2 linked regions of the Astyanax mexicanus genome follow. The protein of the gene in region 2 binds, or shares a complex with, the protein of the main gene of each other region. Links are inferred from orthologs where the notes say so. Each region holds a gene or a part of one and is shown on either strand. Other genes may lie near its edges.

Region 1 (12,039 bases), on a different chromosome or scaffold from region 2:
AATCCCAGGGAAAGAAATGCCTTTGCCAGTTGCGTACTGCTTTGAGTACAGTAAGGCCATCACACTACTTTATCCTCCAGAAGGTATTTTGCTATGAAACACTTTTGATTAGTCTTTCTAGTCTTCTTTGATTAGTCTTCCACCATTCCAGTTGACATCAGGTGATTAAATTACAAACTACAGTTTTATGTCTTTCTACTGATATGTGCTGGGAAGCTGCCTAGAGGAGCCCATGACTGCTGACTGAAGTTGAAAGAATCAGAGAATTTGTAAAGCTGATATCACAGTTTCTTTTTCAAGAGTACAGAATGCAATGTTTTTATTAATAATGTAAAACCATAATCAGATATTTTAAATTAATAACAGTAACACTGGAACTCATTTAAAAAAAAAAAAAAAAAAAACAACAACAACAACAACCCTAACTTAAAAAACAAAACAACTGTCTATTAGAGCTACTTAGGGCCAGGCACTTAGGGCCAGGTTGTTTTTGGGCACCCCTTCTTGCAAGTACATTCAACTCATAGCTGACACAATCAGACCAGCAAAAAAACTGATAATTAGGACCACTTTAACTGATGGGGGAATTGATGTTTTCTTTCAGTGTCCAGTTGTGTCATTTTCCATCTGTGTTTTTTCACTATACTGGACCCTTCTGTTAACACCTAAACATGTGTGACTGCATCCAGATAAGAGTTTAACCAGACACACTTGGTAGTCAAATGTGTCTTGAGTACTGTCTGTGATACTAAAGTCATATCTCTATGTGAAATGAAATATGCAAATTTGCATTCTGCATGGAGATGGAGACTGCATTTACACTGCCATAACATGGCTCAAATGCATAAATGATAACCACCTGAACTGGCTAGTGTTTTGAGACTTGTATGTTTTAAAAGCATATTGCATTTTTATGTGACTTGACCATATTCAGATATAATTCTAAGACTCAAGATACATTAAGTAACAAATGTAAGCAGGGTCCCAGGGACCAGTGACTATGATAACTTTCTCTATGAAAATCTCTATGATTTTTCGTTGTGGTGATGAAAATACTGATATTGCTGACCAAACTGGAAAATATAACAAGAGGAAAGTTTAAGTTTGGTATAAATTAGAACTACAGTAATAAAATCACCCTACGTTAAGACAAACCTCATTTGTCTTTTTGGTCTTTATTAATAATGTTGATCGTGATAAAGCAATCTGCGTATACAAAATCAAATATATCAGATATATATCAAATATATAACCTGTCTCTGGTAGATACATTATGGAATTTTTTTAGATTGTGAATTTTTCTTTAAAAAATTTTCTCTTTAAAAAAAACAAAATTGATGGTATAGCCCTGAATTGCATGTTTGTTGTTCTTTCACATGCTAGTTCAACATGTTTTTGGTAGTGAACATCATGTGGAAGCCTGCTATGGTCCATGACCTCATCACACCGGTATGCGCTCAAGCTAAGCCCAGTGAGTCATTACTTAATTTAATTAAAGGCTACTTATTTAATGTATTGACTCAAGTGAGAAATTTTGCCTTGTTTCACAAAGACTTTTCACCTATTCTTCTTACATGCCAAATTCTTTTTAAAATGCACAGCATTTCTGTGCCCTGTTAAATGCCAAGTTGATGATTTATGAAGGCTTATGCTTTTAAACTTTAGGCAAGTTTACAAATTAGTTTTCTTACTTCTAGAAACAGGGTCTGTCCAAGTTTAACCACAAAAGACACTGTACAGCTTCCTCTTTGTGACAAATTAACACTATATGTTCCACAGATTTAATCTAGCAATAAATTAATAGTGAACCTCAGCGCACATGGGTTGAGAGAGTGTTGCCAGGTTAACATTTCTAGCCTCTTACTAAATACAATCAGGTGAGCAAAAACCCCAAAGACAAGAGTAAATGTTTAAGTAGATTTTGCTGTTCCACAGTGTTATGTTTTGTTGTTTTCTTTCCAGTTATACTGTATTTCCAGTTGCACCACCAAAGCAAAATGTAAATACACCCCGAACGACTGGTCAGGCTGAAGAAAAAGAAAAGAAAAAAAAGAGGTAACAAAAACCCATAGAAGCCAAACACCAGACTACAAGAAACAGAAGAAATGGAAACTTTAAAGAACATATCAGGAAAAAGACAGAGCCCAGTACTTTTCACATACACGTGTTTTGTATTGCTTTAGTTCCTGCCTGGATAAAACATATCTTTAGCTACCCAAAAACAGTGTCCAGCAAGACACCTACATAGAATACACCTACATAGGCCACCTGGCATTTGGGCCTGGGATATTCATTTGCCAATTTCACAACCCCGTCCCAATGACTCAAACCACACAAAACACAGTGCAATGTGCCCACAAATAAGTAGGTTAACAAAACACTTTCTGTTAATACCAGGACAATGCATTATGCAAAGGCCCAGTACTATCAAGGCAGAAAAATCATATTTAGATACTTTTGCTTTTGCGGATATTTCTTGCCACTGATATAATGATAATATAATAGTGTAATAATACATTTACAAATAACTTTTTAAGGAGCAATGCAATTATAATCATTCTGATTAACCAAACAGTGGAAGGCTAACCTTTATTATCTGTATGGAGAACTTTTAAGTTCGCTGGTGTTCAACTGTACCTAGCTGGTCTAGTATCCTTAGCCAAAACCTATCAAACCTAATCACATTTTACCTTTATAACCCCGTTATAAATAACATAGCTGTTAGATGTGTTGTATTCAAGGCCTTATCTTGTGCTTCAGCTCTTCATTAATAGCAATAAGCCCTTGTTCATGCCCGGGCATGTCTGTCCTCAACACTTGTTCGCAATTTGTGTTCCCGAGGATGAAAGAAGACCGAGGGAAATTGGGCGCTGTTCGGGTGTTCCCGCATAGCTAACTATTGAGTTAAGCCAAAAAGAAGAGAGGAGACGGAGGAAGAACATCGTGATGTTTGTTTCTCTACACACCTTATCTTAGCTAGCTTCGTTTCTCTAGGTAGCCTGCTGTTTGGACGACTAGTGAATTCTTCTAATTTCAGAAACATTGACAGTTTTCCTAGCAAATCAGTTAACTTAACAGGCAGCCAGAGTTAGGTTCACTCAAGCTAATTTAACTAACGTTACTTAAGCTAGTTAGTTAGTATGTCTGCGAACAACAGGGTGAGGACACAAGCCATCTGATTCAGTAAGCCAAGTTAGCTGAAGCTAGCTATTTAGCAAGCACTAGCCAGCGCTAGCTGGAAATAACGTTATTAACCGGCTGCTGCGATGTCACAGTCGTTCACACGGACTTACTAGATGTTTTAACCTCGAAAACGTGATCGAGAACTGGAAAATACTCCAATTTAATCCGTACACACAAGTATACAAGCCAGTATCTCCAGCTATTTTCTAGCCAACACCAGAACGCATGGTTAGGTCGCTATAAGCTAGCTAAAAAGCAACGTTGGTCAATCCAGGTCCAGAAACTCAAAATCCACCCATGTGTCTGTCACAATAACCTATTTTTGATTATATTTAATAACTGTAATATTAAGACATTTCATGCCACTGGCAAAGTTACTGATAACATAATAGCTAGCTACTATAGCTACTATAGTTATAAATGTACACATTACAATTAACTATCTGGCTATGATCCACTATCTCACTCAGACACTAGAATTGGAATAGAATCAATTTTAAATCATCATAAATAAAAAAAAACATCAACTAAATTAAATAAAACACTATTTGTAAAGAAAGTGGATATACTGTCACATTCCAGCATATATCAAGGTTTAGAAAGTAAAAATCCATTCCGTGATTTTGCTCCAACTGCCTTGCGAACCGCTAGGCAGCAGCAACACAAAAGCCGTACAGGCAGTTAGAGCAAAATACCGGGGGTGGATTTTCGTTTCCTGGATCTGGATTGATGACACCTCTCCTAAACATTAGCTAGGTAACCACCTAAACTAGCCAGATTAAATGCTGTGACTAAACGGCAAAGAGAGACATTAATAAACGAGTTCAGCATGAAAACACCACACTGTCATCTTATTTATAACAAACTACAGTCATTATTTACTCAAAAAACAGGTTAAATGGACCGTCAGCTAACTTAGATTAATATCTGCCGCTTCCAAAACGTGTCGTGCTCGCGCAAATGGCTGCCACATTTCAGCATTAGCAAGCTATGTTAGCTAGTGTGCTAAGCTATCTTAGCTAACCTAGCAAGCAAGCTAGCAAGCTGACCCGCCTGGCTTTCTTCAGGCACTTTAGCTGTCCGGCTATAATAGACAACACTAACTGTTAATACGAGCTGGCTAACCTAGGCTAGCTCTTAGCTAACGCTAGCTAACTTAGCCACTAGCCACAAAGGCTCCTGAACAACAGTTTGCCTTTATCAAAGAAAAAAACATTAACAGCCTTTAAACACTTTTCAAACATATTATCCTGTGAGTAATGAGTCACAGCTACTTACAAAAAACAGGCTGAACATTGAAATCCCGTGAGAATCGCCGGAGAAAGTGGATCGGAGTCGGTAACCGCTCTGCAGGCTCTCCTTCCTCTTCACACTTCACACTGAAAAGTGAGTTTCTCGTAGCGACCTCCGGACTCGAGACTGAAGCTTAGATTTGAATCGGTTCTTTTCAATGAGTCGAACCGACTCACACTTGCCAAATGAATCTATCGACTATTCTAGCATTTTCTAACCCAGTGGTTCTCAAACCACCCATGAACAAACCAAAACGTTATAAATAAAAAATAAAATATTAAAAGGAAATGTATTTTGGTATTATTACTAATACAGAAACTTGTGAATTCAATTGTAGGGCCTATGCAACTAAAGAACTGAAGTATACCAGGCCAAGCACTAACACAAATACACCTGATGTTGTGAAAATTAAAGGTAAAATCTCTTTTTGAATTGCTCATTTACTGTTTTTCCTGCAAAAGCAGTGGCTTATTCTGCTTAGTTGATATAAAAAGCATAATGTTATTAGAACTGTTCATTTATTCTGTCCAACTGTAAAAATATTTTAGCCACCTGAATCCATGAAAATGAACTAGAGTAAACACTGCATTTTATTTATTTTATTAATATATAATATGATCAAATTTACATTTCAATACATTTAGAAAAAAAGGATTTTCATCCTTTGAAACAACAATCTCTACTGTCCAGAGAAGGCCTTCTACCAAATTTTCTAGATGTTGAAGAATTGCTGTGGGGATTAAAATTAGTGACAAGAGCCACCTCATCCCAAACACTCCAATTTATCCCAATCCTCCAAATTTATCACAAACACCCTACCTCATCCCAAACACCCCAATTTATCCCAAGCCATGCAACCTATCCCAAACACTCCACCTTATCCTAAACACCAAACATATCACACCTTATTCCAATCACCCCAATTTATTCCAAACCCCCAATTTATCCCAAACACCCTACATCATCCCAAACACCCTACATCATCCCAAACCCCCAATTTATTCCCAACCCCCAATTTATCCCAAACACCCTACCTCATCCCAAACCCCCAACTTATTCCAACCCCCCCAGTTTATCCCAAACACTCTACCTCATCCCAAACCCCCAACTTATTCCAACCCTCCCCATTTATCCCAAACACCCTATATCATCCCAAACCCCCAACTTATTCCCAACCCCCATTTATCCCAAACACCCTACCTCATCCCAAACCCCCCAATTTATCCCACACACCCTACCTCTTCCCAAATCCCCAACCTATTCCCAACCCCCCAACTTATCCCGAACACTCTACCTCATCCCAAATCTCCAACTTATTCCAAACCCCGAACGTATCCCAAACACCCTAACTCATCCCAAACTCCCAATTTATTTTAAAGACCTTACCTCATCCCATGTTTGCATGTGTGCATTTGAACAACTGTATCAACAATGGATGCAACTTAGTTAGTATCTGAATGTATTCATTATGAGGGACGTTTACAAACATTTAAACCCATACTGTATATATCTATTTTTATATACAGGTTCATTTTTTTTTTTTTACTTCAAGTTGTTACACTCACCTTATTTATCATATATATGTATTCCTGTTCATATTCATTCATATTCTATTTAAGATTACAGGTCAGACTTGGCTGGTGAATTAGTGAATCATATGCTCGACTCTTTAAAACAGCTCTTTCGAAAGAATCGTTTGGCTGAACTGAACAGAACCGAATCCTCGGCAGCTTCTCCGCTGAAACTGAAGGGGAGGGTCTACCCGGAGGCGACGTGACGTCAGGTTTACGCAAAGCGCCCGTTGACAGTCTGGTGATGTCTCACCGGGGAGGAGTGTGACAGTGACCACGAATAGGAGTTATAATTATCTCCTAAACTGTACTGACGGAGTTCTTCTATAGGACCTTGTCTTCTATTAACTCCAGTGATCGTCTGATACGGGTTTACGCACAGCGTGTCTGAATGAAAACGTGTTACACACATACAGTAGGAGAGAACAGTGTGAGAGAGAGAGAGGCCTGTGTGAGTCATTCTAGTGACTGGAACACATGAAGCACGCAGATACACGATGCGGACTGAAGGATGTTCAGTATGTTCAATATGTTCAATATATCACGTGGCTTCAACTGTTATAAATGTAATATTAGATGTTTTTCTGTTTATTACACGTATTTATGTGTATTATATGTATTGCTATTTTCTGGAAGTACTGAGTATCTAGAGGTAACCTCTCATCCTGCATGCTCATGCTGGGCTTACATGGGTGGAATGTGAGCTAGGTGGGTTTCGGGTGGGCATAAGTCTGAGTGGGTTTGTACATGACTTTTTATTTACATTGACTTCCAAAGTTAAAGTTAAGAAGGTTTTATCCCTCTATTGTAATGTTGCTGTTTTGGAGATACATGTTTTTCATTGGACAGCAACAATATGCTGGGCCAACATATCACCCATGTACAAAACATTCTGTTTCCCAGCTGGGCTACCCATAAAGGCCCTGCATGGGCATGTTATCTGTGCTGAGTCAACTCATACGGCTGGCAATACAGGTTCTTTTTGTCTTGTCCCTCTAATGAAATCCCCAGAAAACAGAGTGTTATGATGCATACAGTTTATCATGCTGTATTTTTGGCAGGCAAATATAAAGATAATGATATCTTGAGAAAAGGCAAACATGGGTAAATATTCACAGTGAACATAGGTGCTGATAGGTTAAAATGACCTGCTAACATAGAACACTGTAGTCACAGTCAAGAACACCAACATATACAGTATTTGTACAAGAAAATCTTTATTGATATTGTATCAATACTATCAAGTACTGCAGATTTCTTATAAGCTGACAAAACATTTTCAGTCAAAAGAGTGCATTTAATACCCAAAGTCTATTGCACAGCATAAATGCAATAGCCCTGTATACATCAAACAACCAAAACAGAACCCTATAATCTGATACGTAGTACATACAAAAAAAATAAAAGAAGTAAAGGTCGACAAAATATTCCTTTAACGACGGTAGTATGCTAACTACAATACTCGTAACTTGTCAATGCTGTTATATATATTTATTTGTACGTTATTTCAATGGACGCTTCGGTAGGCAGACATTCTTGCTGATTCATCACATATGTACAGTATAAATACACCTTCATTACGCTAATGTGCAAATGGGACGGGTTGTTTGTGTTTATCTTGTCCGTAACAAACAAATATCCCTTACAAACCGAAGCAAGAATTTTCTTGGCATGAAAATGAAAGGAAAACCGAGTCTAGCAGATCTGAGGGGAAACAGTACAATGAATCTACCTGACAATTTTTTATTGATTTCATTTAAAAATATATACGCTGATTTCAAAGCCTCTGTTTATACTGACATTAAAGATGGAGCGAATCAAATTTTAAAAATCAAAGCTCTCTGTGAAAAAATTAATGGAAATGGCTATAGGATATGGATAGATGAAATGATTGGCTCTTGTCTTAAATGCAGTAATATTTTGGGGGGAGGTAAATATTTTAACAACAGAGAAAAGCAATGAAGAATTGCTGACTGGCTACACTGAGAACAGCCAAAAGGGGATAAAAGGTGAATAACTGTTACATATCACCACAGTTGGCACACTTTGGAATCAGTTTGTTATGACAGTAATTCCAGCTTTATGAATGATGTAGTTGTAATATAACGCTTCTTTTAAGATATCACTAGCACCAGATGAAACAACAGCAACATTTTGGCTCAATTTTGCAATACGTGACAAACCCAATGGGTAATTCAGGGGTTATTTGGGAATAACAACTCGACAATTTATTTTACAGCCAACTCAGGGTCAATAATTAATTTTGTGTTCATTGTTACGGTCTGCATATGCATGTTCTTATTTGTTTCTGAAAACCTTTTATAACAAATAGGGATGAGTTGCAATAATCATTTTTGTTCGACAGATCCAGTGCATTTATTTAATCTGTTCATTACTATGAACTAATCATTCAATATCTGCCTGAATAATTCATGATCAAGTCTTCTTTGTGCGAGCATTGAAAGCAATGAACAGAACATCTGAATAATAAACTGGGATGTTGTGCACAATGCCCAGTAATTAATTTGTTAAATGTTCAATAAGGCGAAAGACACAGTTCACATGACATGGGCCATGTCTTCAAGTTCTGGAAAAAAGCTCTTGATGTTCAACTTTAACTAATTTGAATGACCAAAGAATCTTAAATGGAATTAAGTGTGTAGATGATTAAAACATTCAAAAATGAATGTCCACTATTTAATACGATGTTAAGTACAATATAAGTTTCAGAACTGTAATGACCTTTGAACATACTGTGATCAAATGCATAGGTTAGAGTTCATTATGTCTTTACACTCAGACAGTTAATCCATTAACAGTTCATCTAAATATCTTCTTAAAAATATATAAATGCCAGCAATACAGGGAGATAATACTTGTGTATTATTTTGTAATGTTTCAGACTAGAATTTCAGACTGATTTTCTGTTCAAAATAATATTCTAAAACTTTTCACTTCAAGGATAAGGACAATACTCTCCACGTATATCACTGATTTAGGCACATTAGCAACAAATTGTAACTGTAACACATAGTAAACAAAACATATTTTATGACATTTGGCCTAGAGTTAAGACTTTACTCCCTAGAGTAAACTTAAAACCGTCAGGGTAGTAAAGAGGAAATGTTGTTGAAAATGATTGAAAATAAGAGCTTGAGCTGAATGTGACTGCAGCCAGGGGAACACACAACCCCAGAGTCGAAAGAAATGGAGTTCAATGGGAGTCAGAACATTTGGCAAAGTGTGCAGTCACATGGGTAAAACTGTTACTTACACATTGTCTGATTCCGATAAACAACAACATCAATTAAAATAACACAACAACAGCAACAATAATAATATAACAGTTATAATAACATTATAATATAGGCTGAAGATACCAAAAACACTTGAAGGAAAACAAAAATCAAATCAGACATTTGAAAAGGCTAAAACATGGACACAGCATAAAGTTTCCATCTCCTGCTTTCATCTAGGCTTTTCTGGTGTTCAGTCTTTCCTGTTATCGATGTTACAGGTGGTACTTGAGTGACCGCAGAGCGCTGGAACAATAAACGATGGATCATATAAACTGTTATGTAGGGCACAGAAGGAACCCTGAGAAGGATGAATGGATGTACTCGGTGGAGTAAAGCCCATTTGCTTGGTCAGATGGCATCTGCACCCAAACCTGGTCGTTCTCCTTCAGCTCCAACACTGCACTGCCTGACGCCTGGTCCATATAACCCTTCTTGTATTCGTCATAGGTGTATGTGGCAGGCACATTGTTTTTGTACAGTGCCACCCACAGGCTGGTTCCCTTTACGTGAACGTGATAAGCAAAGTAGTAGATTCCAGGCAGTGGGCTTGTGAAGATACCAGTAGTGGGATTGTAAGCATTTTGTCCATTGTACAGAGTCCTGTCGAATTTAATGGGCATACCAGAAGGTGGGAAAGGTGTAGTGAGGATGGCAGTAAATGCTGGAGCCATTGTGGCAGAAAGCTCACCGACACCAAACTGTGGTTTTCCAGCACCTGGATTTGTTATCGTTTCTCCCCCAATATCAGGACCTTGGAGCCCTGCCACTGTTGTATCTCCGTTAGTTGGGCCCGGAGGGCCAGGAGGACCTGGAGGACCTGGAGGGCCTTGAGTACCACTTATTCCAGGAGGGCCTGGTTTTCCTGGCGGTCCCTGTGGACCGGTTAATCCCTGGTCCCCATTCTTTCCATTTCCTGGTGGCCCTGGTAGACCTTGTTCCCCTTTCAACCCAGGAATGCCCTGTGGTCCCATATGTCCTGTTGGTCCAGGTAGACCTGGAATTCCAGATAGGCCACGTGGTCCTGGGGGCCCAACAAAACCATTTTCTCCTTTGGGACCTGGTACTCCAATCAAGCCTGGATTACCAGGGAAACCAGTGTGACCTGCTTCGCCTTTAGGCCCTGGTTTTCCAATGGCTCCATTTGGCCCTGGAAGCCCTTTATCCCCCGGCATACCAGGCTTTCCTGGCAAACCACCGGGACCTTGATCTCCTCTGAGCCCTGGCAAACCTGGAGGCCCTTGAGGACCCAATTCTCCTTTCAGACCAGGCATGCCATGCTTTCCTGGAAGACCCATTGGACCTTGCAGACCTTGAGGTCCTGGCTGCCCATTTACCCCAACATCACCTGGTAGACCATCCATGCCAGGTTCACCTTTATCACCAACAGCACCTGGTAATCCAGCAGGACCCCTGTCCCCTTTCTGTCCTAAAAGGCCAGGTTTACCATAGCCAGGAGCTCCAGGAAACCCAGGAGTCCCCCTAAGGCCTGGTTCACCTTTTGGTCCTATTGGACCTGGTCTTCCAGGAACACCATCAATCCCAGGCTTTCCCAACCCAGCTTGCCCAGCTGGCCCTGGCAGTCCTGGAGGCCCAGCATCCCCAGGAAGACCTTGAAGGCCTGGAATTCCTTGGTCCCCTTTTGGTCCTAGAGGTCCAGGTAACCCGTTAAGCCCAGGCTTGCCCACACCTGGGTTTCCAGGAGCCCCAGGACCTCCTGGAAGGCCAGCTGGACCTCTAAGGCCAGGTGGACCTATCTTGCCATTGCCATTTTCCCCTTTGAGGCCTTGTTCACCGGGCATACCACGGCCACCTTTTAGACCTGGTTCACCCCTGGATCCTGGTGGACCTCGAACTCCTGGGAGCCCTGGTTTGCCATTCAATGATAGACCTGCAGGCCCAGGTGCTCCTGGTTGTCCAGGCAATCCCCGTAGCCCAGGCTCACCTTGAGGTCCCTTGTCACCATTGATTCCTGGCAGCCCTTTGGGCCCAAGTTTTCCCGGCAAACCTGGCAGTCCTGGCTTTCCAATTCCTGGCAGGCCAGCTGGCCCCTGGGGTCCTGCCTGACCATTTAGGCCTGGTTTACCTAAACCTGGTTTTCCTGGTAAACCTGGGGGCCCAGCTGGACCTCTAGGACCTGGCTTCCCTTGAGGGCCTGGCTCCCCTTTCACCTTCATCGCAGGTGGATATTCTGAAAAAGAAAACAATCATAATGGTATATGAATGATTTTGTCAGAGATAACTAAAATACCATCCCTTGTAGAAATGAATACAAAGTCATGCTGTTATAAATTTATACTCAATATTAAATAGCTTCTTTTACATATATAATTTTAAGGTGTTATCACAAACTGTTGCTTACAAGATAACATGATACAACATAAAGATAATATATTGGTTGCACCAAAAGCAACATAATCAACCTAGTAATTTAGGTGATTAGTGGTCTAAGTGGTTAGAGCACTGGGTTGTGGATTCAATGCCTGGGTTTGGCAAGCTGCTATTGTTGGGCCTTTGAGCATGGTGCCCTCACTGCTCCCCAGTGCTCCCACAGAAATGGATGCCCACCACTCAGGGTATGTATGCTCACTCTGTCACTCTGTGAATATGTGTGTACGCTGATGTTATAGTGTTCATTTAAATCAAGATCTTACATGTAACCTTCAATGTGTATTAACATATTCAACATATTAAGC
Region 2 (11,919 bases):
ATATTCTCATTTAGAGCATTTATTTACAGAAAATGAGAAATGACTGAAATAACAAAAAAGATGCAGAGCTTTCAGACCTCAAATAATGCAAAGAAAACAAGTTCATATTCATAAAGTTTGTATAGAGGTTGTATAAAATACATTTACTCTGAGCACTAAACTTCAGTTACTGAAAACAACAGCAGATTTCTGAGAACTCTGAGGCGTTTCATCATCCTGTTAAAGTAACTCAACAACCCTCAGAGGCCGAGGTCCTGCTAACCTCCTGCTGGAGCTGCGACCTGAGACGACATGCTGGTACAAGTTTAACAACTCAAACATTTCAGCAGAGTGAACAAACCCCTCTGCTTCTGCTTCAACTACATGATTTCACACCAAACACACTGCACTACTATACACACTATTACACACACTGCTATAGACCTGTATCATTTGGGTATCGGTACTGAATTTAATTTTAAAACAATACCCAGCCCCAGAAGCTAATTCTGACGTTTTGTTCCTATACTGTAAAATAACTCAGGTGGGTAATTATGGCGGGTCTACCTGCAGCAGTAGGATGAAGTAATCCACAGGGTGGTTCCGGGTGTAGAGGTAATGATCTGGACTCAGACGGTTGTTTGGGTCAAACTTCACCTCCTGGTTGACGCTCGGGTGCCGCAGGAGATGAAATAAGACTTTCTCTGAAACTCGCTGTGGACTGAAATGCTCCACCTCTGTAACAGAGAGGAAAAAACAGGATTATTAATAATCATAACTGTGTTTTTATTACTCATAAACTGCAGGAGAAACGCAGATCTGTGTTTCTGTATTCTGTAAGAGTCTAAACTGCAATTCTGAACTGATAAGAGCTAAAGATAAGAACACTGAGGAGCTGCAGGATTACTCAACCTGTTCTTTATAGACTGCTTATTACTAAACATGGTGTGCCATATTATGCGTGCCATACTGCATTATAATGTGCATTATCAACAAACATCTGTTTTCTGATCTATTTTTTTATACATAAGACACACTGGATTATAAGGTGCATTTCAAGTGGCACTAGTAAGGAACATGGGTGTAACCATGCTTCCCTTCTAATTCAGCAAAAAACATTTATGTGTGTATGTAAAGTGCTTCCTTTTATTTACAGCAAGCTTACATTTCCAATATATAACAGTGCAGTTAGCAGCAGCGCTAGCCATGGTTCGCAGTGCTTAGCGCTAGTTAATGCCACCCAAAAGTGCTACAATGAGAAACTACAATGCGTAAACATGCAGACTACAGTCTACTAAACTCATCTCTGTACAGCGAAAGAGCTAGCACTATGGTTAGCGGCTAATGCTAATACTGTTCCAGCCTTAGTGCTGGAGAAACTTCACTGAAAACTCACCCTTATAACGCTGTACTAAGATATTAAGAGCATCTTAAAGTGTGAAAAATACAGCACATAACCTCCACATATTTCAGTTAAATATAATGAAATTTGTAAAAATATGAAAATCATTGTTATGTAAGAGAGTTCTTTACAAGTTTTCAGAAGTAAATCTAGTCTATTTACTAAGATTCACTCTGCAGCTTCTGTATGTAAAGTAATTCAATTAATCTATTCAATTAAATTAATATTCCAGCTGAAGCTCAGTGTTTCCACACCTCTGGAGAGGAAGCGGTGTGTGGCCAGCAGGAGCTGAGGAGACGTGCGGATCTTGGGTTCTCCTTCCGGTGGTTTAAAGAGCGAGAACTCCTCCTGACTCGAGCGAGGCTCCAGAGGAATCTCCAGCGCGGCGGCGGGACGCTTCACCTTCATATTCACTGCAGGACATGAAGACACTCCATCAGAGAAACACTCTACACACCATCTCTCCACACCACCACACACTGACCCAACAAACTCACGCTTTATTCAGTGCTTTATGACTACACACTGAGATGTACAGTTTATCAGTTCAACAACGGCATTGGATATACATCATTGTTTTTTCAATATTGCTCAGCCACATAGCTTTACAACACAAATCAGATTTTTGCAGGCAGTAGATGTGCTCTGTTCTAAGCTTCACATGTACAGGTTATACTTACTGTAGCCATCAGACTCATCCAGGATCTCAGACTTTATGATCTCCTCTATAACGTCCTCCAGAGTAATCAGTCCCAGAACCTCGTAGAACGGGTCTCCCTCCCCCTCATTATTCACCCTCTGCACTATAGCCAGGTGAGAGTTTCCTAGAAAAAAAGAAATAAAACTAAATTACAGCCAACAGTGTTTTTTTTCATTATTTATGTCAAATGTTTGTGGACACTCCTGCTAATAAATGCAATATTCAACTATTTTTGTGTGTGTGAGTGTGTGTTTCTATGCATGAAGTGATTTCCGCCCAACACAAGTACGATACACTGCCTGGCCAAAGAAAAAGTTTCCAACAACAAAAAAAATTCTAATATTTAGCTGAACCATCTTTATCTTTGATTGTGTGACTTTGCATTCACTGTAGCATTGTTTCAATAAGCTTCTGCAACGTCACAAGATTTATTTATTTCAATCCAGTTTTGCATTAATTTTTTTATCTGTGCAGTCTGACCACTGCACAAAGCAGCTCTTCTCCATCCAGCACATCCCAAAGATTCTCAATGAGGTTAAGATCTGGACTCTGTGGTGAACTCTCTCTCAATCCATGTGTGAAAATGATGATCTCATGCTCCCTGAACCCTGAACTCTTTCACAATTCCAGCACCATCAATCCTGATATTATTCATCTTGGAATATGAAGAAAAATTAATGGAAGAACCTGATGGTTTCCATTGATGGAAGAAGAACCTGGTCTATATTCAGTATATTCCTTTGCTGAACCTAAACCTGCAGACAAACTGCAGCATCAGGTCCAGATTATTTACTTATTTTTGGACAGGCAGTGTATTTATTACATTTGTGTTGTGTTATCTTGCCATGTTTTGTTTTGTTTTGTCTGGTCATCATCAAAATCTCCAACATCTCAAACTACCTCAGTAATCTTTACTGAATGCAACACCACACAACCCCAGGTATCCAAACACTTCTGCACACCTGTGGTTGGTCCCACCGCCTCACCTTTCTTGAACTCCTCCAGCATGGCGTCCAGCTTGGTGTCGTTGAAGACGAAGTGCAGCGGGTGGTTGTAGAACTTGGTGATGGTGGTCATGGGGGTGCAGTCCTCCGGGTCCACCAGGGCCAGGTCCTTCACGTACAGGATCTCCACGATGTTGGAGCGCTCCTCCTCGTAGACGGGCACGCGCGTGTATCCGCTCTGCATGATCTCGGACATGGTTCCGAAGTCCAGCTGGGCGGTGGAGGGCAGCATGAAGCAGTCCTTCAGCGGGGTCAGGATGTCCTCCACGGTCTTGCTCCTCAGCGCGCCGCGCCGGAACTCCTCCTTCACGAACTCGCTGTACGGGTCGTTGACGTTGGAGCGGACCATCTCCATCACCTTCTCGCGCACGCCGCACGTGCTGACGTCGCGCCGCAGCGCCACGTCCAGGAGCACGCCGAGCGGACAGGTGAGCGGGCAGGTGAGCGCCAGGCACACCTGACCCAGCCAGATCAGACCGGGGGCGAGGTGGAAGCCGTAGCCCGAGCTGATGATGTGCGGGAGCAGCTCGGCCAGGAGGAACAGCAGGGCTCCACACGTGAAGACCGCGGGCAGGATGGAGCCGAAGGCCCGGTAGAGGAGCACGCCGAGCGCGGAGTGACCCAGCGCGGTCAGGAGGAGCAGCGAGCACACCAGGAAGTTACCGCGTCTCCGGAGCGGCTCCAGGCGCTTGGCCGCCCGCCTCTCGTCCTCCGCGCCGCAGCTGTGGAGCACGTAGAGCTCGAGGGGGTCGAGACAGAGCAGACTGAGGCTTAAACTGCGAATCAGAGCACAAATAAACACCAAGGCTGCTATAATTACCGATAAAGCCCAGGTAGGGATCCAGTCTGGGGGTAGCTTTGGCTCAGGCTTTAGCTCTGGCTCCGGCGCCTTCAGCTGGAATCTATCCGCCCCCAGCGACTCCCAACCCGGCCCGCTCAGCACACACAGCCGGTGCAGAGCGCCCGCGCTGGAGGCGTCCCCCTCCGCGGTGCGGACCTCCAGCACACCGCTGCTGTCTTCATCCGCGGAGAACTCCCCCTCCACACGGAATATAGAAGAGTTCCTCAGGATCTCCTGCCTGCATGGGTCCTCCTCCTGTTCCTTTACTGGACCGGGACTGGAACTAGGACCATCAGAACCAGAGGCACCAGCAGCAGCAGGAGCAGCAGGAGGAGGAGGTGGTCCAGGTTGGGAGTTGAAGTTCTCCACTCCCGCCTCCCGAGCGAACGCGAGCCACGGCCAGCTTGCATTGTTATTACTATTATTATTAATAACATTATTATTTTTAACCAGAAACAGCAGCTCAGATCCAAACAGCCTCAGCCTGAATCCAGACCCCGGAGCAGCGAACAGAACTCGCCCGCGCATGTACACCCGCCTGCCGGCCTCCTCCTGCAGCTGCCCCCCCTGCTGCACCTCCAGCACCTCCTCCAGCCGCAGACCCACCAGCCTCTGGGCGCTGCCCCCCAGCAGCAGCGGGATCAGGAGAAGCAGCAGCAGCGGGAGCAGCGACCGCCGCACGACCACCATATTGGATTCGGGCAGCTCGCCTCTCCGCCCCGCCGATCATGTGACCCCCGCCCGCCTACCGTCACCCTCCTACCGCCGCGGAAAACAGCGGCAGAAACGTCCTCACCGGCGGAGCCATGGCGAAACACGGGGCGGGGAAAAACACGATAATAATACACCGATTCCTCCTCCAGCGGCTCGGGGACTCCTAACCCCCGGTACGGCGGCGGCCCGCTCTCCGCAACCCCAACAACAACAACCGGGGCTCCTCAACTCTCCGCTTCTCGGGCGGATCTACGTCGAATGCTTCACCCGACCAATCAGATTACAGCATTGTTAGCCACCAATTGGAAAAAGGAACGACACAAGAAAACCCCGCCCCGTTTGAGCGTGTCGAGTCAGGTCAGAGTGAAATATAAACACTGTATATTCAAAATTCAATATATATTTTTATTGTCACTAGTGTGCAAATGAAAATATTTACAACATAGAGTAGAATAATAAAATAATATAATACACAGTATACACACAATACACACCAAAGTCATATTGATATATGGTATTGTACTGTAGATATATATTTTAATGTTACTGGATATAAAACAATACAATGCTATATAGATGCGCTGATATCTGTGTGTGTGGAAGTGCAGAGATAGTCCAGTATGTGACAGAGTAATAATGAATAAAGTGCAGAACTGCAGGAACAGAATGAGTTGTGTAACCTAACTTAATCCAGCAACACTGTTCGTACATTTAACCTCAACCATCACATTGTAAAATATTTCACCCGACCACTGCAGACTACTGGTATTTTAACCTCTGCATCACTCTAAAATACATTATTAATGGCTCACAATTATGTTTAAGTTTTATGTACAGTGATCGGTTGCAACAGTGTTATGGAAGCAAAAACAAATAGCCATTAGTTTCTCTGACTGGAATTTATCTACAGGAAAGCATTTAGTGATTGCTGATAGATTTTCTTGTGTTGGTTATTGGACTAAAATGGAATTTAATGTTTAATATAAGAATCACTTGTTCACCATTCCCAAGGTGGCCCCTATTGAAAAGTTTGGAGACCCTTGTCTTACATCTATAATGCTTTTTAATTTTGTCGGGGAAAAAATCATTATCAATACGTTCAATTATCATTAGTATTAGTCTGAATTAATTTTTATATGAGGCTGGACTTTTTATTAGTCAGAAATACTAGTTCTCTATTTTGTCCCAATACTTTATCTTTTCCAAATATCACAGTTTTGAAAATTCTCTCTCTCTGATATGGTGACAGGTTGCTTGCTAAGGTGTTGCCATGGTATGCCTGTTGGTTGCTTTGGTATGGATGTTGGTTGTTAAGATATTGCCAGGTGGTTACTATGTTATTACATTGTTTGCAAGGTATTGCTATGTGGTTGATAAGGTGTTGTCATACAGTAGCTGTTGGTTAATGAAAGCTTTTATTGGCTGGTTTCCTTATTAAAAACTTTTGTAGCTTTAAACAAGATCTAATACATACACAATAAATACACTGAGAACTGTATTTTTTTTTATAGAGAAATAGATCTCTCAGATTTATTGTCATATTTCATCAGAACTCCTCCAGTATTTATTATAAAACACTATGTACACATTGCTTTAAATAGAACAACCGAAGATACCTGGAGGTACAGTACATTTGCTCGTTACACTCTTCTTCCCTTAACAGAGAAACACAGATCATATATTAATAAATCAAATAATCGAACTCTGTAATAGACATAGATAAAAAAAAAATTAAAGAAGAAGAAAGCCACTTCAAATCTAACCCTCAGAAAAAATAAAACGTACATGTTTCAGGGAGAAAAAAAAAAGAAGAAGAAAAAAAAAAAAAGAGTATCCAGATGAATAAATCATCATTAGCATTGTCCATAAAACTATAACTGAAATATCTTTATTTTGTCAAAGAAAAAAAAAAAACGTAAAGGGTTGCTGTGGTAAATTCATTTTTTAGCAAGTGCATGGAAGACAAGTGTGTTCCTTAGCAATAGTGTGGTTCCTCAGTGGCCAGGAGGGCTGTACTATATGTGCTGTTTGGTGGACGACAAGCCCTTAGCTTTTCTACGAGCTTTTCTACGAGCTAATGTACGACACGCAAACGAGCGTGAGCACAAACAACGAGTAAATCAATTACGCACAGAGGAAAATTCTCCCACATTCATAATCGTTAACCTCCACTGTTCACTAATCATCAAACCGAGAACCGTCCTGCTCCGAGTTACAACTCAACTCTTAACTCAACTCTCAACTCAACTCTTAACTCAACTCAATTTAAGTCTCAACTCTTAACTCTCTGGTGAGTGTGGGAGTGAAACCCTGGCTCTGGAACAGCGGCAGTGCGAATTAGAGCAGATTAGCAGACTGGACCCCGAGCCCGAAGGAATTTCATTAGTTCTGAGCCACGGGAGCCCCTCCCTCCTCCACGTAAACCCAGCCAGGGGGCGGAGCCTCCGTCGTCACGGCGCAGGACGGAGGAGATACAGATCAAAGTGCAAAAGGCTTTGGCCGAAGTGTTTCTGAACTATCTGATACGAGGCGCGGTAACTTTGGTCGTCTTGAGTTTGAGCAGAAATGCATGGTCACAAACCCCCCCTTCCCACCCATCACTCAAAATCTGGACACACCCCCTTCACAACCCCACCAATCAACAATGACTTTTCTTTATTATGATTTTTTTATTTTCCACATCATAGATTAATATTAAAAACATCGGAACTAACTATAAATGATCAAACCTGTTAATTATGAAATAAAAAGAGTACGGAAAGCACCTTCATATTTTTATATGAATTTGCTAAGGTTTTGCTATGGTATTGGTTGCTAAATTGTTGCTAGGTGGTTGCTAAGATATTGCTATAGTATATTGTATTGATATTTTTTTGCTACGGGGTTGCTGAGGTGTTTCTCTGGCAATGATTGCTAAACTGTTGCTGTAGTGTTGATGTTGGTTGCTTGGTGTTTGCTAAGGTGTTGCTATGGTATAAGTGTTGATTACTGTGTTGTTGCTTGGCAGTCAGTTGGTAAGGCATTACTACTAAGTGGTAGCTAAAGTGTTGCTATTGTATAGCTTTGGTTGCTAAGGTGTTGCTAGGAGGATGGTTTGTTATAATCTGTTTGTTTACTGTTTACTACATAATTCATTGTTATTATGTCTTCAGTATTAATCTACAATACAGAAAATAAACATTGAATGAGAAGGGGAGGTGTGCCCAAACTTTTGACTGGTTCAAACCTGAAAGTAAATTCTTGAACACATGCAAACTCAACTGAGGTAACATCTGAACCCGGTCCTTTCCTTGTACAACATTGTTAATTAACCCCTGTAATAATAATAATAATAATAATAATAATAATAATAATAATAATAATAATAATAATAATAATAACTATCGTAACTATTGCTTCTCTTTTAAACCTCTCATAAAGGCAACATAATATTTATAAATAACTGGTATATAAACTATATAAAGACTGGACTGCTGTCCACCGTTACACTGACCAACAACACAAACAAACGGAAAATGGTCAACATAAAATAAAACGTCGCTCACTGTTCATTAGAGCGATTCTTAGCTGATCATGGTGTTTAACTCGCACACATCGCTGGAGAAAACTAGCGTACAGAGTATAAACTGGGGAATTTATTATTATTACTCAGAACTACAGCATGTAGACGATCCTAAATAATCAATACTGAATATTGATTTGATTAACAGGATAAAGGTGCTTTGCCACTGCATGATACCTACACTACTCAACTTAACTCTAACTTAGAGTCTTATTTCACTCTTATTGCACTGTACTCAACTATTCAACTCTACTCTTATTTCACTTTTATTTGATTCAATTTGACTTTTTTAATTTAAATTAACTCAACTCTAATTTGATTTCACTTTACTAGACTCAAACTTGACTTTTGTTTGATTGACCTCGATTCCTATGTGATTCAACTAAACTCCAATTTGACTTATTTTATTTAACTCAACTAATTTTTGACTTTATTAGACTTAAACTTGACTTTTGTTTGATTTAACTTGACTTATATTTGACTTTTATTTGAGTCGACTCAAATTTAGTTTGATTAAATTGTACTATTATTTGACTTTTCGCGACTCGAATTTAACACAGACTGACTCTGATTCCACACTAGTTTGACTGAACTCAACCCTTATTTCACTCTACTTTGTTCACATGAAATATAGGTTCTTTTGTTGGTTCTTTGGTTTACGGAACCTTTCACACCTGCTACTTTGGTTTGGACCAGAGTAAAAAAAAAGTCTAAAAGGAATAAATAAAGTGTAAAAGCATCCGAACGGAAAGTAAAGAAGCTGAATTGAGTTGAGTCGGGTCATGCAGTGTTATAGTATCATGCAGTGGAGGAGAAGCACCGTCTGCTGTGGGAACGAAAGAGAAACTAATGGGGTCATGGTGTTTAACTAAGCTAAAGCTACACACACACACACACACACACTACTGTGTTCTAGTGCAATAAAAAGGGAAATTGAAGCTTTACTGTAATTGATGAGCATCTCCAGCTTCTGATCTGGTGTTGGGGAAGAACGCTACAGGCTGAATTCAGTTCACAGTGGATTCTGTCTCGGCACCAGTAAAGCTACGGCTGGATCACAGGTCTGGAATGTTTTCTTAGTTCTGAACGCCAAGTTATTCTTCTGCATCAAATCAAGACACAGCCACTGTGATTGGTCCAACACACCTAAACACTTAAAACAGCGTAAAGCTACTTGCGCGGGCGATGTCGTAAACTCTGAGTTGACTCCACGCAGAAGAATAAATCGACTCTAATCGTCCCATTTCACTAATAATGACCAAAAATCTCACAAACGTCTTTATAACTGACAATAACATGGTAAAACTATGATTACAGATGTGCTACTGATGCAGTTATATGCTGGAAAGGACTGTGGCTGGTTACCACATCTCTTACTGGACCAATTTCGGCCAATCGTAGCCTCTTATATCTGACGAGGCCGTGTCCACACGTATCCGAATATCTTTTAAAATGATTTTGCTCCAATGAAAGAAAAGCGATTGCATTAGCATGCCAGGCCTTGAGGGGGCGCTAATAGTAATAGCAAATCAGGTAGTTACAGATTCTAAGTGTTCTAAAACAGTATTTTCATTTATTAATATATGTAAATCTGGAATCTAGTGTATTTCTGTGTGTAGACACTGTAGTTTTATTACTTATTTAGTTCACTATATAGGGAGTGAGGAGATTTTTGGGATTCAGCCATAATAAATGTGTATGTTTTGTGATGTTAGCTCTTTTAATAAAGCAACTTCATGAAAACAGTGTTTAAAAGTGTTTAAAAATGCATCGGTTTTAAAAAGCCAATAAATTAGCTATTTTTGTGTGAACTAGAGGCCAAAACACAGACAAAAGCTTTAAAATTTTTTAACATTAATTTTTTTTAAATCCGTGTGGATACGTGTGGAGGAGGCCTTAAATAAACAAAAAACAAAAACAAAAACAAAAAACATACCAAACATACCAAACATACATACATATGCATCTGAACTGAATTTAATTTAGGCAACAATAAAAAATAAATATGGATAAATATTTATATATTTATATAATTTATTTCTATTGCATATATATTTATATTTTTATATAGTATATGATCTACCTAGTGTCTATGTTCTGGGGTTGGATCTCCTCTGCTCGAAGGCTGAAAGTCACTGAATATTGTGAATATTCTGAATAATAAAAATCTCTAAAAGTACCGTCTATTATTTAAACTACGTCAAACCACTTCCTGTTCTTAAAGCTATTTGCATAATAATAAAACAACAACAACAACATCGTCGAAGAGAATGTCCCTCATTTTATCAGGTACCGCTAACATACAGATCCCGAACTGTAGCGCGATAAACCCAAGAGCCTCGGCTCGTATTACAGCTGCGTCCGAACTCCAGCCAATGCACCAATATACCGCGCAATATATTTATATATAAATATATATATATACACGCTACGATATCGGTATAACTACGATAAACTCTACGAAAAAGACGAATCACATAAAAACTCTCTCAATCTCTTTCTATATAACAAATATTGATTGTGCCCAATGGGGCACCATGTTCCCAGCGCCCTCACTGCGTACACTATACGGCCAAAAGTGATGGGACACCTGTCTAGAGAAGACTAGATTTATGGAAGAAGTCTCGCCCATCAATAAAAACAGCCAATCAGCACAAAGAATGGCGGATTAGATTGGAACATGTCCATCAATGTGGAGATCTGCGTAAGTGCAGCAGCAGGAACAAGTGCAAAAATCACTACGTTTTTTGGGGCAAAAAAGTCAAATTTGATCCAGTTTTATCAGTAATTTATAACATATTACTAAAATAGTAATTCGACTCTTAGTGACCCTTAGCACTTCCCTCAATGTGGTTAGTTTAGAGTATTTTGGTCTCTCGCTATTCATAGAAATAGGTAGCTGGTCTTGCATAAGTGGATATATACATATGAGCTAACTGGTGTTTTAAATACAGACAGCAAGTGAAATATATGATCAGTACTGTTGAGGGGTTTATAACCCTTTATAACTCACACCTGACACTATTAGACATGGAGTCAATATCTTTGTGTTTGGGAAGCTTCTCCACAGAGTCCTATTCTATTGGCAGTACTTCTCTCCTACAGTGGGGTGTCCACAAACTTTTAAACATATAGTGTACGTCCAAAAAAACCCTTAAAAATACCAAAAACAACAAAAAACAACCAACCGTATACATGAAGTCTGGGATTGGAGGTTATAAAAGTGCAGTTTCTTATCTCTTATTATTATTTTTATACTATGAAACATTATCACGTCGCCGTTCAAAAATGCCCGAGAAATCTGACCAAGGCATTTTTGGCTTTTGCATGCTACAGAAACACAAAATCTCAGGGACAGGGACGTGTATACGAGTTCACCATGCAGTGAGGACGGGGACGGGGAGACAGTGGAGCTAGAGGTCCTGCTGACCGACTCAAGCCCTTTCACACCAAGTACTGATCTTATTTATCGACAAAAACTTAAAAAATATGTTTTGTTTGAGTTTTATACATGAATATACATAAAACTGATGGTCTGTGCAGCTGTGTATTTATTTTTATCAATCAAACTAACCAATCAGAGCTCTGTTGTCATGGATACAGAAAAAACTAAACACTAAATGTAGAATTTCCTTGGTCGAACTAAGATATTTTAACAGCAATGTTTTCACAGGATTTTTCTACTCTATTTCCTACTGGGAAATTCATAAGAGCTCT

Evidence for each region.
Region 1: the proteins of metal transporter CNNM3 (region 2) and ptp4a2b are in contact, whole or in part, in a crystal structure (PDB 5K25), measured with the Homo sapiens proteins. The link is inferred for Astyanax mexicanus from reciprocal best matches to the Homo sapiens genes CNNM3 and PTP4A2. Residues at the interface, in NP_060093.3 of Homo sapiens: Leu390, His391, Phe392, Val393, Phe394, Asp396, Thr397, Glu405, Ala414, Gln417, Val419, Glu424, Gly425, Asp426, Pro427, Phe428, Tyr429; in NP_001356788.1 of Homo sapiens: Met1, Asn2, Arg3, Pro4, Asp69, Gly70, Cys101, Ala103, Leu105, Gly106, Arg107, Arg134, Arg135, Gly136, Ala137, Phe138, Asn139, Lys141, Gln142.

Annotation. Positions count from the first base shown.
Region 1 is NC_064410.1:46,846,961-46,858,999, reverse strand, and holds the start of ptp4a2b (protein tyrosine phosphatase type IVA 2), read right to left. Parts: upstream 4,578-12,039; 5' UTR 4,462-4,577; intron 1-4,461. Other genes in the region: col8a2 (collagen alpha-2(VIII) chain), read right to left, coding at 9,622-11,534.
Region 2 is NC_064427.1:525,011-536,929, reverse strand, and holds the start of metal transporter CNNM3, read right to left. Parts: upstream 4,908-11,919; 5' UTR 4,617-4,907; coding exon 3,068-4,616; intron 2,206-3,067; coding exon 2,062-2,205; intron 1,795-2,061; coding exon 1,636-1,794; intron 717-1,635; coding exon 547-716; intron 1-546. UniProt on the Homo sapiens protein: Probable metal transporter.